Rhinolophus ferrumequinum: one gene and its partner. The protein of the gene in region 1 interacts with the protein of each later gene in a biochemical or structural test. Links are inferred from orthologs where the notes say so. Each region holds a gene or a part of one and is shown on either strand. Other genes may lie near its edges.

What was found.
Region 2: the proteins of PICK1 (region 1) and GRM7 form a complex in vitro, tested with the Homo sapiens proteins (2 studies listed by BioGRID, with this or other methods). The link is inferred for Rhinolophus ferrumequinum from reciprocal best matches to the Homo sapiens genes PICK1 and GRM7.

The regions. Positions count from the first base shown.
Region 1 is NC_046293.1:8,946,435-8,953,885, forward strand, and holds the start of PICK1 (PRKCA-binding protein), read right to left. Parts: upstream 3,007-7,451; 5' UTR 2,784-3,006; exon of another isoform or gene 2,687-2,783; intron 2,549-2,686; 5' UTR 2,492-2,548; coding exon 2,451-2,491; intron 1,343-2,450; coding exon 1,231-1,342; intron 1-1,230. UniProt on the Homo sapiens protein: Probable adapter protein that bind to and organize the subcellular localization of a variety of membrane proteins containing some PDZ recognition sequence.
Region 2 is NC_046300.1:46,598,359-46,605,208, forward strand, and holds the start of GRM7 (metabotropic glutamate receptor 7), read right to left. Parts: upstream 3,013-6,850; 5' UTR 2,695-3,012; coding exon 2,176-2,694; intron 1-2,175. UniProt on the Homo sapiens protein: G-protein coupled receptor activated by glutamate that regulates axon outgrowth through the MAPK-cAMP-PKA signaling pathway during neuronal development.

The DNA.
Region 1 (7,451 bases):
TCTGGAATGGACTTCAGAGCTGTCGTCGTATTACCCTTGAGGTCCTAAATGTCATCAAAATGTCTTCTTTTCAATATTTCCTTTATCTTCGGGTAAAGAAAGAAGTCACTGGGGGCCAGATCAGGTGAGTAGGGAGGGTGTTCCAATACAGTTATTTGTTTACTGGCTAAAAACTCCCTCACAGACAGTGCCGTGTGAGCTAGTGCATTGTTGTGATGCAAGAGCCATGAATTGTTGGTGAAAAGTTCAGGTTGTCTAACTTTTTCACACAGGCTTTCCACCACTTCCAAATAGTAAACTTGGTTACTGTCCAGTTGGTGCAAATTCATAATAAATAATCCCTCTGATATCAAAGAAGGTTAGTAACGTCACTGCAACAAGTTCACGAACTTAATTGTCACACCTCGGATGTCCAAGGTGGCAAGCTTCCTTCCAAGGCTACAGAAAGGTCACTGCCTGTCTCTACTCCTGAGTCCCAGCTGACAGAATATCACCAGTGCAGCTTCCTCTACAAGGGACCACAAAATTGTTCACTACCACCGGCAGTTCATCTGGGAAAGTGAACAACTGCCATAAAAGTAGTAGCAGCTACTATTTAACGAGTGCTTATTAAGTACCGGGCATTGTGTCATGTCATTTTGTTAATCTTCATAACAACCCAAAGATGCTCATATCTACATATTTTATATCCCCACTTTCCAGGTGAGGAAACTGAGGCCCAGGGAGGGGTAAGTAACTTGCTAATAAGCAGGGAAGCTTACATTTGAACTCAGGCCAATATTATTTCAGTCTTTTAGTTTTTCCACTACACTTCACTTGTGCTAGTACCAAAAGCTGGTGGTTTGTTGATTCATTAAAGATATTTTTCTTGAAGTCCTAGTCTATGTCAGGCATTATACTAGGTACTGATAAAAAAGCAACCTGGGATCCTGCCCCAGGCACAAAGAATCTGAAAAAGCAGCTAGATATAAAACAACTAAAGAGCAAACCCATGATTACAGGTGGTGATAAGGACCGAGAAGAAAAAGAAAATACTGGAATAACAAAGAAAAACCAGGGCAGCCCTACTGAGAAGGGGTGGTCAGGAAGCCCTCTCTTAGGAGGTCAGACCTCAAGAATGAAAAGGAGCCAGCTCTGCAGAGTAGAGAAAGGAGCTCTTGTGTCATGGCCAAGTAGGGAGGTGGCTTGCTCTCTCCAGGACCTCACCCCCACCTCCAAAGCACCCAATACCTGGACAATGTAGAGGCAGGGACAGTACTGGGCCCCTCCTCCAATACTGATCCCAATCAGGTTCTGAGCATCCTTCTGCAGGGTCACCTTCCCGGGCACGGTAGGGATTCCACTGGAAAGAGAAGCACAAGAGGCTGAGTCCCCCGGAGGAAGGATGACTGGCGAGGATTGGGAAGGGGACGGGCCCTCTAAAACCCCAAGAGGCTCCAAATGCTGCACAGCCTTTTCTCTTTCTCATTTGGCCAGAGAGACAGCATTTTGTGCTGGAATGTGCACAGCTCTTGGAGTCACACAGACGTGGGCCCTCCTCCCAGCTCTGCCATTAATCAACTACGGGACTTGGGTAAGTCAACTTCTTTGCAGCTCAGTCTCCTCATCCATAAAATCATATGGAAAAAATGGCTACTTCATCAAAGTTATTGTAAGAAGTGCCTAGAAGGCACTTACCAACAACCCAGCCCATATCAAGCACTCCGTAAAAATAGGTCCCCCTTCCTTTACTTCATTCTACCTCTGAGGTTTAAGTCAGACTCTGTCCTTGTCACCTTCTCAGGCACATATGGAATGTTACGTCCACCTCCTCTGGGAAATCTTCTCCTGCTAAACTATCCAACACCTATCTCTCAATTGCCCTACTCAATCACCTCTCAATTTTTACTATAAATTAGCACTTACTTATGTTTTGTGGTAAATATTCTAATTCATTCACTTTCTCACAAACATTTGCTAACAACCTACTTGCGGTCAAGCACCTTATAAAGTGCTGAGAACACAAAAAGGCATTGGACCCAGTCCTTGCTCTGAAGGAGAATATATTCTAATGAGATTAACTTAATTTTTGAAAACGTGTCCCACCAATCGTCTACAGTGGGGAGGACAGTATGTTTACGACGTTTCTATTCATTCTTTGAAACCTGGCTCAATTGCCACCTCCTCGGTGAAGCCTTCCCTGAACATCCCTACATAGGCTGCATCTGCTCTGCTCTCCTTGTAGCCAGGTGATTCTCCATTAAGGCCCTATGATCCTGAATTGTAGTTATCTGTTGATGTGTCCACAGTCCCCTACAGATGGTGAGCTCCTGGAAGGGAAGGGTCGGTTCTGCTACACTACAAGACCTAATCCACAGCTGAAAAACAAGGGTCGGTGCAACTGGCAAGCCTGGGGTCTGGGGAACTTGGGGCGCCTACACTTTTGGGACTTGGGGGAACAAAATACTCACAGTTTATCCTCTTCGATATCATAATCCAAATCTGCAAACATGGTTCGGAGAGTTGAAGTGGGCTGGCTAACTGCCCAGTTCCGCAGGGGAATAGGGAGCTGGATCCGGGAGAGAAAGGAGCATAGGATTTAGGGAACCCAAGTGCCAAGATGTCAACCCCAACCCTGGCGATCCAGACCCTCCCACTCCCCTCTGGACCGTGGGTAATCCCTGTCGAGTGGCTAGGTGATTCTTACTAGGAATAGGGGGGGACTCCAGGCCAGGGCGCTGGGTTCAGATCCCAGATCTCTCCCCCGGGTCTTCAGGCACTTGGAGGCTGCCTCTGTCGCTCACCGGAAGCGTCGGTCCACAGCCGCGTCCCAGCCAGGCTGGCACCTGTACCCACCTGCCGTTCCACCTGTCGGCGGCCGTGACTGTCGCGTCACTTCCGGCCGGACACGGAAGTCCCGCCTTCCCCCCCGGGTATTTACCCCAGTCCCTGCAAGCAACTCTTCCCTCCCTGGCTCCCGGGACTCCCAGAACCAGGAAAGAGAACAAGTATTGACGGAAGCTCGCCGTTAGCATGAGAAAGCGGAAACAGAGGAAAGGTCTGGACAGTCTGACAGCGCTCAACCCCACCCCTTGTCCTGTGGCTGCCGCCATATTCATAAGGGCAAGGTTCTTCCCAGATTCCTCAGCGGGAAGCTGAGGACCACTGGCCCGGTGGTTGCCGTGGCAACGGAAGCATCCTGGGTGGGGAAACTTCCGGCGAAGTCCAATGGCCTACAAACCCTTCCACATTTTCCGCACTCTGTCCTAGGGTATTACCATTAATAGAATGACATGTCGGAGCCAGCGTAACCCCATTTTTGCAGACCAGGAAACTAAGTGCCAGAGAGGGAAAGGGATTCTGTCCGGAGCCACCTGCAGTTGGTACAAGATCCAGATCTTGACTTTGAGACTCTGACACCTAATCCAGTGCCCTTTTAACACCTGCATACCTATGTTCACAGATCTGCTATTAACGACACATTGGACAAGTTACCTCCTCTTTACATGCCTGCTTTCCCCATATGCAATCTAAGAGTATTGAGGTAGGGATGCTTTCTCTGGTATTTGGTGAAAGATTCCTCAACCCATGTCCTTTGTTAGCCCTCAGGAGCAGCTCCTCTGGGGTCTCACTGAGGGCCAGGAAATGCCATCAGTGCTTCACGGCCCAGGAGTTCGAATCTCGTCTCCCTGCCAGCCTCTGCAGCCACTGCTACTGTGCAAAGCGGGTTCCCTAAAGGGGGTTGGTGCTCACAGAGCCACAGCCTTGGCATCGATCTTGTCCAGGGAGCATGGGCCCAGGCCTGTCCAGCTTCCTTCCCTAGCTGCCCCGGGGGCTTTGGAGGAAGGAGAGAATCACAAAAATGATTATCTGCATATCCCATAGCCTAATGCGATCCCCACCACCTCCTCCTTAGGGAGTTAATCTGAGTCACAGCAGATGTTCAGAATGCCACAATAACAAAAACTGTCCCACGTACCCTGAACTGCTTTGCAGTTCAGATCACTTCCATGGGATTTTAAAGTTCACCGCAGCCCTGTGAGAGGAGAACAAGTATTGTCAGCTCCACTCTGCAGGTAAGGACCCTGAGGCTCAGGGAAACAGCTTCCCCTTGTGTCACAGGTGGCCCTAGGCAGAGCTAGGGCTGGAACCTCCAAACCCTGTTTGCAGGCCAGAGTTTCGGTTTTAAAAAGCAGCAGCCTCCAGACCCAGATACTTTCACATGGGCTGTGGCTCTCCCACCACACAATAGCTCTAGCTCAAGCCCGGACATTGCCATTTTGTAGCTGGGGGATCTTGGGCAAGTCACTGCATGACTCTGAGCTTTGGGTATCTGTAAACCGGGGACAGTGATCCTCTCCACAGGTACTTGTGAAGGTCAAGATAAAAAGGAGAAACAGGTGCGAGTGCTTTGTAAAGAATTCACATGGCACAGATTCACTCCGCCCTCTTGACCCCAACCTACTCAGGACCCTCTTCTCAGGTGAGGGCAAGATGCCCAGACCCCTCTTGTTTGCTTTATCTTCTCTCTCTTCCTACCCAGCTCTATCTAATCCACCTCTTCTGGGGAGTTTTACCAGACGATCCCAGCTCACAAAGCTGCCCCTTTTTCTGAGCTCCTAAAATAGTTGTTATTTAGATTGTTCACTTGAAAATTACTTTTGTATTGCCTTGGGAAATCCTGCCTGGCTTCTTTGAGCCATTAACTATTACATGCTTGTATTTTGTCTGGGGAAGCTTTTTCTCCTTTAAAATTAGGACCTAGGGCTCATATCTTGACAAATTGTGAACTGCTTCTCCCTGTCTATCCGGACTTTATACTCCCTGGCATTCACACCTTCCATAGGACGCTAAGAATCCATCAATAAGTGTCACTGTGACAAGAAAAAGAAAATCAGATTGCTTTGTAACGCCTGTTAGAGTGAAGTATTATGACCCACTTTATGTTTGTCAGTGGAGCGGGGTCTCCTGGGTCAGCTCACAGAGCATGGAACCTGTTCCAGCCAATTAAGGGGGTGAGGTTGGGACCATGAATTTATTTGAGGGGAAAGAAAGTTGGAGTACCATGTTCCATCACCAAAGTAATCAATTCTTGTATCCCCAGCTGGACAGGAAGCGCCTGGGGGCAGGTCTTGCCATTCTCTGCATCTTGCACACACCTGGAGCACAATACCTGGCTGTGGATGAAGTGCATAGAAATAGCTGTGGCTTTATATGAGATGGGACGGTCCCTCAGCCCTGGAGGAGAGGACATGGATGGGCAGAGAGGGAACGAGATGATGAGGGCCTGAACCTGGACAATGGCAGTGGCCTGAGCTTCCCCCATGGGGCTGGAATCACCAAGTATAGGTCCTGAATTTTGGAATTTCAGTTTTCAGCAAACAGCAACCTCCAACCTAGGAGTTTTAACATAGCCTGCAGCTCTGCCACCCCAGGACGACCCCAGACCAAATCCGAGCTCTGCTAATTTGTAGCTGGGGGATGTTGGGCCAATTGCCCTTTTCCTCTGAGCCTCAGGTATGTGCAGAATGGGGATGATGCCTCCCAAGATAGGAGTTATAAAGACGGAACTAAAAGAGAAAAGCGAGTCTGAAAGTGCTTTGTGAGCGATTCACTTGGCACAGATGTCAGAGGTTTTTATTGTCATTCCTCACTGTAATCATTTTGCCTGACTGCTTCAGAGGGCTGGGCGTAGGACACACCTAAAGGGCCATTGGATGCTCAGGCGCCTGCATCAGACTCATCTGGGAAGCGTCTTACGTGCAGATTCCTGGGCTCTGTCGCAAACCTATTGGATCCATCTCTGGGGAAGGAGGATTTTCACAAAGCTCCATGGGCCATTTCGTTGCTAACTGCAGCGGACGGCTGTCTCAGAGGCTCAGGATGTACAGTGTCTGTGCAGCCGGTGGGCCTGTTCCTCCTGAGGGTGAGGCCTCTGGTGCCAAGAATCCTTGCTCCAAAGTCCTCACATTAGGAGGAGCCAAAGGCCTGGGAAGGCTTCCTGGAGGATGCGACCTCTCAGCTGAGTCCTGAGGAAGGTGTACCCAAGGCAGGTGACACAGGCAGACGGCACAGGTGGTGCGGGCAGTGGAGGTTACAAGGAACAGTCCCTGTGCTCAGGAAGTCACTGTGGTGGGGTGAGGGGGACTGAAACAGACAGTAGGAGCAGTGACAGGGGTGATGAGGTCACTAAGTCCAAGTGAAAACTTGGGGAGAACCGTTATTTCTGCCAGAGTCACAGGTGAGAGGGGTCAACAAGGGCCTCAGAGGGGAGGTTTGAGCACCTGCTTCAAGATGGGTAGGATTGCAAGGGTTGAAATGGGGGCGAGGACATCCACCCACTTCCAGGAGGCTGAGCCAGGACTAGTCCTCAGACCCTCTCTGTCCAAGATTGCGCCTCCTCCTTCTCCCCTGCTCCGCTTTTGAGTCTACCCAGGCAGCCGGGTGACCTCTCACCTGGCCTAACCCTACCACTGAAAGCTGTGTGACCCCAATCTCTCTTGGGCCTGGGTCCCCTGCAAGATTCCGCCCCTCAGTTCCCAAACCTCAGGTTCAATCTGGAAAAGCTTGCCCCCCCAATCCAATATTCCTGGGGATGTGCTGCCACCCAGTGGCCATCAGGAGAAACACCCCCGGGGCACCAGAGTGGCAGGAGAGTTCCCCCCACCTGTCCACTCCTGTCCTTGTCACCGCCCAGCCCTGCTCAGGCTTTGTAGCCTGTAGGCGATGGATGAGGCTGGCTGTACGTGTGCCATGCTGTGTTGGACATGCGTACCCTCAGCACTGCTGTGGCCCCAGCACAGGGCCTGACTCACACTGACTTTGCAGACTCCTGTAAAGGGCAAGAAACGAGGGGTTAGTGGGTGCTGTTCAGCTGAGATACATAAGGCATGGGTTTTAAAATCGAACAGATAGTGACACAAATACCAGCAGCCAACACTTACTGGGCATTTACTGTGCATTGGGCCCCTTGCCAAGGTGCTTCCATTCATTGTCTCATGCGAACCTCACCACAGCCCTTTTAAGTGAGGTTAGTCATTCACCTATATATTCATTCATTCATTCATTCATTCATTCATTCGATAAATTGTATTAATACCTACTACGTCTAGGCTGACATTTCGGGGAACAAGAAAAGCAAGGTCCCACCCTGACATGAGTGGACACAGCAGTCCCTAAAACTAGGTAACACCTCCCACTTCAGTGCATTGGGCGAGGCCCCAAATCTAAAGGGGAGCCCAGTGGGAAAGGGTGCCAATGTGGACTTGTGGGGAGTTGGTGGTGGGCTGGACAGAGCATTGGCTGAGACCAGCTGTGTGACCACAGAAATGTCACTTGACCTCTCTGAGCGGTGGTCTCCACGGCAAAATGGCTCTCATAAGAGACCAAGTGTTGGTTTTAAAGTTAAGTCAGACCATGGCACTCCCCTGCTCGACCCCCTCCAAAGTCTTCCCATTACACGTGGAACAAAC
Region 2 (6,850 bases), on another chromosome or scaffold:
GTGCTTTCTCTGAATGGTTTTGGTCCCAACCCACACTGTTAACACTGGCTAACACTGGGTTCCTTTCCTTCCCAGCCCAGGGAATGAGGGAACTAAGTGTAAAGCAAGCTGTTTCTATCCCCACAGGTGCTCTCAGGTTCACACACCAGAAGCGGAATCAGCTCCCCCTGGAATCCTTTTCAGCAAACACCAACCTAGTCTGCAATCTCTCTCTCTCTCTCTCTCTCTCTCTCTCTCTCTCTCTCTCTCTCTCCTTCAACATTTCACTCTTATTTCATACAGCCCCATCTGCAGTACTGCCATGCTCTGAGTGAAAGCAGAATCAGGCAGCAAAATAATATAAAAATGCTAAACCAAACACACCTTCAACTCCCAGGGCTCAGGACACCCTGTGGACTGCCCCAGTCATCTCAGGTGATCTCTGACCTCATCCTCTCCTGCAGCACTGCCTCCTGACTTGTCTAGCTTTAAGCTCAGAGATGAAGGAAGTGTTGGGGTTTTGCTTACAACAACCCAGGCTCCTCCTGAAAGCGTCAACTCAGAGTGAAAGCTGTCCCCAAAGCACTTTTGGGTTTGCCAACCCCCAGGGTCTCCATGATGGCATACTTAGGAGGTGTTCGGGAGGCTCAGAGAGGCCATACCAGGCTGCAGCCTTGGAGGGCACCCCACCTTCTGACGCAAAACAAACTTCACACTCCTGGGAGCTGATGTGATGACAGCTTGATTCTCACAAGGAGTCCCCTCCAGAAACCCAGCACCCTTGGGAAAAGCACTTGATGGGGTGCCTGATTCTTTGGCTATGGGGAGCATAAGGGCACCAGTCAGCCCAAACATCTGGAGAAGAGATTAACTGGGCATGGGTATTACCCATGGAGAGACCTGTGCATTAGGAAAGGATCGTCTCCAGACGGAGACGAACAAAACACTTGGCGGTGGGGGTAGAGAGGGAGAAGAAAGGCAAAAATTGAAAGGGGGAAAAAGGCAGGGAGACAGAGAAAGACACACAGGGAGGCACACGGAGAAACAAGACGGGAACCAACCCACAGTCACGCAGACCCTGAAACTCAATTTCTTAACCCCAAAGCTATCCATTTATACCCACTGCAGCACCGGAGCTACGGGACGGAGGCTGCGGAGCGGCGGCGGGAGAGCACTGCGGTGGAGCCCACCGCTCAGCTGCCCGGATCCGCCTTCCTCCCGTTTCGCCGTCGCCCTCCGGCGCCCGGAGCAGCACCGCCAGGCCTTGCTCAGCGCACCCCACTGCCTCGCTCCAGAAGCCCTTTTGCATGGCTCGGGAATCGTCCTAGGGGCCCAGGATTGGGGTTGGGGGCTGCGTCAGGGAGGTCGTGGGAAAAGACGGGCGGAGGGAGGAGGCAGCGAAAGCGATTTTGTTTCGCAGTTAGCATGAGCTCATCTCTGGCTCTGAAGTGACAGGAGTAGAAAGCTGATCGCCCAGCTCCTCCTGCCAGTGGCGGGACTGCAAATGCAATTTAGACGGTGCAAACATTTGCCCACAGCAGATCCCCAGGGGGTCATATCTGCGGGTGGCATCTCCCCCACTTGCGGAACGTCCCCGTGCCTTCCGCCCCTGCCCTCGCAGAGACAGGCTACAGGTCAGGAAATCCAACCCGACAGAGATGGGCAGTTAACCTCCTTATTGTAGGTGAAGACCTAGTCCCGGGTTTAAGAAGTGCCTCCCTAAGCTCTTCAATTTTTCCAAGGAAGCTGAGGCTTGCTGGTAGGCTTGGGGCTGGGGAGCTGGGGAGTTGAGAAATGCCCAGGTTCCAGGCGTCTTCTCATCCTTCATATTCCATGCGCCTAAACGGCTCTCACCCGGCACTTTTACAAGCCTGTTTTCGGACCATATTTCACCCTAATGCAAACCCATTTAAATCATCGCCTTGTTTTTCGCATATTGCTTCTTATAAATGGGGCCATAAATCCAGGAAGTCAAGCCTGATGGAGTGGAGCGCGCACAGGGGAGAGATGGAAGGGAAGTGAACCAAGCAGGGAAGGTACCTCCTCGGGTGGGGTGGGAGGGATTCGGCAGGATCTCCAGGGTGTAAATGCACGAAGGCGAACCTGACCCCTCATCCCTGGAGTCCAAACCAGCTTTTAGGATTGAGAGCGCAGGGAGCTACGTCCCGCTCTGCCCCGGAGGGAGCGCCCCCCTACCTGGAAGAGCCTCAGGATGTTGGCTACCATGATGGAGACCGAACTCCCCGAAGCCCCAATCACTCCAACTACTTTCTCCGGCTTGACAAAGACCGGAGGCTCCCCGTTGGTGCAGCGCACATCGGAGGTGTCCTTCTGGATGAGCGCCTGGACGAAAGTGAGCGACTGTTCGAGCGCGTAAGTGTCCCTGGAACAAGTGTCCAGGATCCGCGCGCCTAGCGTCACGTTGGGCAGCAGGTTGGGATCGCTGTTGATCTGGTCCAGGGCGTAGAGCATCGCTTCCAGCCTGTGGATCCCGTTCTCTCTCTTGATGTCGCCGCAGGGCACTCCGCTGGGACCCTTGGCGTGCACAGGGAACAGCCCCCCGAGGGTGACGTCCCCCTCGATCCGGATAGAGTGTGGGGCGTACATCTCCTGGCCGCGTGCCGCCGCCGCCAGAGCGCACAGGAGCACCTCCAGCACGCAGCAGGGGAACTTCATCAAAGTCAGGACGCGGAGCAGCTTCCCCAGCTGGACCATGCTGCTCCGGCTGCTGCGGTGGCGGCGGCGGCGCTGAAGGAGACCGTGGCGGGCTCGCCGGGGTCCGGGCTTCTTGGGGTGAGCTCTTCCCGGGAAGACCCAAAACTCCTGCAGGCACGGAGGGTGGGGGCGCCCGGGAACGGGCGGCCGGAGAGGAAGGGGGGTCCCGCGGCGCCTGCCAGCTTGGGGCTCCGAGCGCTCTCGGGTTCCCGGCCCGCGCGCCGCGCTCGCGCTCCCCGGCTCGCGGCTCGCACTCTTCAACAGCCCAGCACTGGGGAGAGGGCTCGGATTGCTATCGCTTTAAATGGTCTTTCGGCTCCCTCTCCTCCGCCTCCTCCCACTCCCTCCCTCCCTCGCTGGCTCTCAGTCTCTCCCCACCCTTTGCAGCGCCCGCCCTCCCCACTGGTTTGCATCATCACGCAGGGAGGGGCTGCGTGCTGAGGTAAGGGGGGGGCAAGGGTGGGCGGCTGGCAGCGGTGGGGAGTGCCTCGGAGAGGGAGTTTCTCGGTCCCCAGGGAATCTAGGGATTGCAGGTCGCAGGCGAGGGCTGAGCTCTTGTCCCCATCTCACTGTAGAAGCCTCTTGCTCGCCCGCCTGCACCCGTACGCACATCCCAGGCACCGGTGGTATCAGCCCCGGGATGGGGCGAGAATGTCTGGTTCTGACCGCTCCCAACCCTGAGGTCCAGAGTCCAGACTCTCAGCTCCGGGAGGACGCCAGGGAGTCGCAAGGTGAAAAGGCCGTGATGGAGAGGAGTGGGAAGACCCCAGTCTGTACTGCCGACCCGCCAGTGCCAGCTTTTCCTAAGAAAAAGAACATACACAGAGGAGCCGGACCCATGACTTAAAGAACCTTTGCCCAGAGACTTCTCCAGGGCCAGGCACTGGGCTACCCCGTAAGGAAACACCCAAACAAGAAACGTTAGGAATGGGAGTACATTCTTGGTCTTCGGCAGTTACTGGGGCCAGAGCCAGATGAACGAAGTCACTGCCATCGCCAGCTAATCTGTGATGGAAAGCCTGCACTTGACCCTTTTCTTTCTTTCCTCTCAAGAGATGGAACAACTGAGACCTCTGCAGAGCACTTTCTCCTCTGGCACTGACAGGTGTAAGGCGCCCTCCTACCCATTTCCAGAGATGCCTCTGGGCTGATGACAGGTTTTCCAGGGCAGGAAACAGCAGGAAAGAGGTGATAGTAGGAGGAAGAAAGAAGGGCAGACAGAAGTGTCTTCAATGATTCAGAATGCCTTTCTCCCTTTTCTTTGGCTGGAGATTGGGGGGCAAAATCAGGATAACCAGAGTAGGTTGCAGTGCAATTAGGAAGCTGTTTTTCAAAAGTGTCATCTCCTGCAGGCCGAGCGTGAACTTGGTCCATTAAAGCAACAGGTGACCCTAGGAAAGGTGATGTCTTTGTCCTTGGGGGCCCGAGTGGACTCGGAGGTTAACTCTGCTCTTCCTGACGCTTTCCTTTGGAGTGCAGCAAAACTCTAGTGCAAGGACTTGAGGGTGAGAGAAAACCAGAAACAAGACTCTACTTTTTGTTGTTCTTACTAATGTACCCCCCCCAAAAAAAAGTCCTTGTACACATATACACATGCAAACACACACACAACAAAAAGCACAAGATAAGTAGTTGCTTGTCTTTACCACCAAGTAGCTGTGTATCCTTGGCATTTCTATTTCCCTGTCTGGGTTTTAGATTCCCCATCTGTAAAATGATGAGATTGAATTGGATGCTCTCCAAATTATCTTTTAACTCTCAACTCCTCTGTTAAAATAGGCCATATCCCTTTGGCCATGGTGCTCTTTTTAGGCCAATATGCTCTGTTGCTGAATGTGTAGCAGACCAGTTGTTTGCTATTCAAAGAACATCACAAATGTGTCCTGGTATACAGGACATTTTTTATATTTCCTTGCCCACCATCTAGTCCTCTTTCTTCTAAGGACAGTCCAGTCCATTAATTTATTTTTGGATGTGCCCTTCCTCCACATTTCAAAATTTAAGGTTTGAGAAAAACAGATGCCACTTCTCATCATTCAGCCTTGGCTACTTGAAGCATGGGGTCCTTCTAGCTACTATGTGACGATATGTTCAAGGATTGGGATGGAACCCAATGAGAGCCATCGAGGGCCAATCCCTGGACTTCGCTGCAGTAACCAGGGTCGTCACCCAGGGTTACCAGTAGCCAACAGACAATCTGTGCATGAGTTAGAGAAAAAAGCCCCCTCTACCCTCGCCATCCTCAAACGCTTTATATCATTTGGAAAATGTTATACTATTCTAATTCTAATTTGTAAGAACATAACATGTACTGCCATCTTCTAGAAAACGGCGCTGCAGTTAATATACTAATCTACTGTTGCACACAATGTGATTATCAGTGGCTCTTACATGCGATGCCCTACTACGTATGTGCTCACCTTGCATTACACTGTGATGGCCCGCTCCTTCCTGCCAGTCCTTGGGCTGTGAGGAGAACAAGCCTGTGTGCCAGGAGTTTCCACATAAACAAGGAGATGTTTCCCATGATAAAAGATACAAGAGAGGGAGAAGGAAGAGGAAGAGAGAATGGGGATAGAGATAGGTGGGGCCTGATTACAACATTTGAACTCCTGGATTCCTGCTCGCCTGAAAGATTGCCTCTGGGTTTTTTCAGTTATATAGTATTTTCTTTCTTTTGTTTGAAGACAAAAAGATCCTCTTTTAATTAACTTGTTCTAATACACCAGATCAAAAAGGGCAGAACAGCTGAAATAGACAACTTGTTAAGGTAGCATCGGCTAATTTGGAAAGAGAAAAAGCAGCAAACAAAGCAACAGAAAGGCATGCTTGGGAACAAAATTCTATGATCCTAATATTTAGGCATTGGTGCCTCAGGCTGTGTTTGACAGAGACTATATCCTAAGTTTTAAATTTAAGACTATTTATTAGGAACTTGGTGACAAAAAAATATTTGGAGAGATGGGTCTCAAGTATTGTCATTTGATTTTTTTCCTGTTCATGTCTGGATCCATGTTCTACTCTTCCATTTCTATTTCATACCTGGTGATTGCTCAATAAATATGTCTTGGCTGACTATCGAATATTGCCTTATTCTGTGTTCTCCCTTTGCTCTGCTCATTCTCCCTAAACATCTGGCAGCAATCATTATCTTCTTTTCATTGCAGTCATCTGTGCGCATGTCTTATTTCCCCTGCCAAGTTGTAAGATCCTTGAGGGTAAGGGCTGGGTATTATTTATCATTTCTTCCGGACAATGTTTAGAATGATGTTTTGTACCTAAGGGGCACTCATGTGTTGAATGAATCAGAACTGGTGTTGCCATTCCCCACTGCCTTTATCTGACAGTGACTGAAATGTAAAGTGGCGGAGCAGAAATGATGGCAGATAAATTGCTGTCCTCTGTCACGGTATGCAGTTTCTAGAGTGTAAATTATAATTAGTACATTTAGAAATTATTCTGTTTTACGGAAATTGCATAAGATTGAAATGCTCTAACTTGAACACTCTTGATCACCTCTAAAGGAAGGTATTCATTGGTTCTTCCTGAGTCAAATGTTCATTCCTGGAGCAATAACTGGGGTTGTTGCCATAGACTGGCTGAGGAAGGTCAAAGCCAGGCACTAGCACCACCTGAACTAAATAGAAAGGGTGATCTGTTACCAGATAAATGGGAAATTGATACTGAGCTTGCAAAACCTACAAACATCCAGCACATATGTTATCTAATTCATCTTTATATTTTTAGTCACAGTGTATAATAGGGACACAGTATTTGTGGGGTTTTTTTTGAGATTATGTGAATGGAAAGCGTTTGTGTAAAAGTGGTTAATCTAAAACTCGGCCAGTCATTTTTGTAGTGTCCTATTTAATTGGAGGAGAATCTAGTTTTAGGCAGAAAGATGGTCCATTATAAAATGTGTTCACAGGCTTGGGTCTGTGTAGTTATTAATCTGACCTCATAAAGGAATTACTGAAAATGAATAAATAAAGTTAAGAGCTCAATCCTAATTTATATTCTTAGGATTGTGTTTCCATAATCATCTCAGTTTTACTTATTTTCTTTGTTGTTTTACTTTGTCCATTATCTTCTGAAGACAATAATGTCTCCACTTCAAATCCCTCTCTGTTTAAATCCAATTTGTAATTTACAAAGT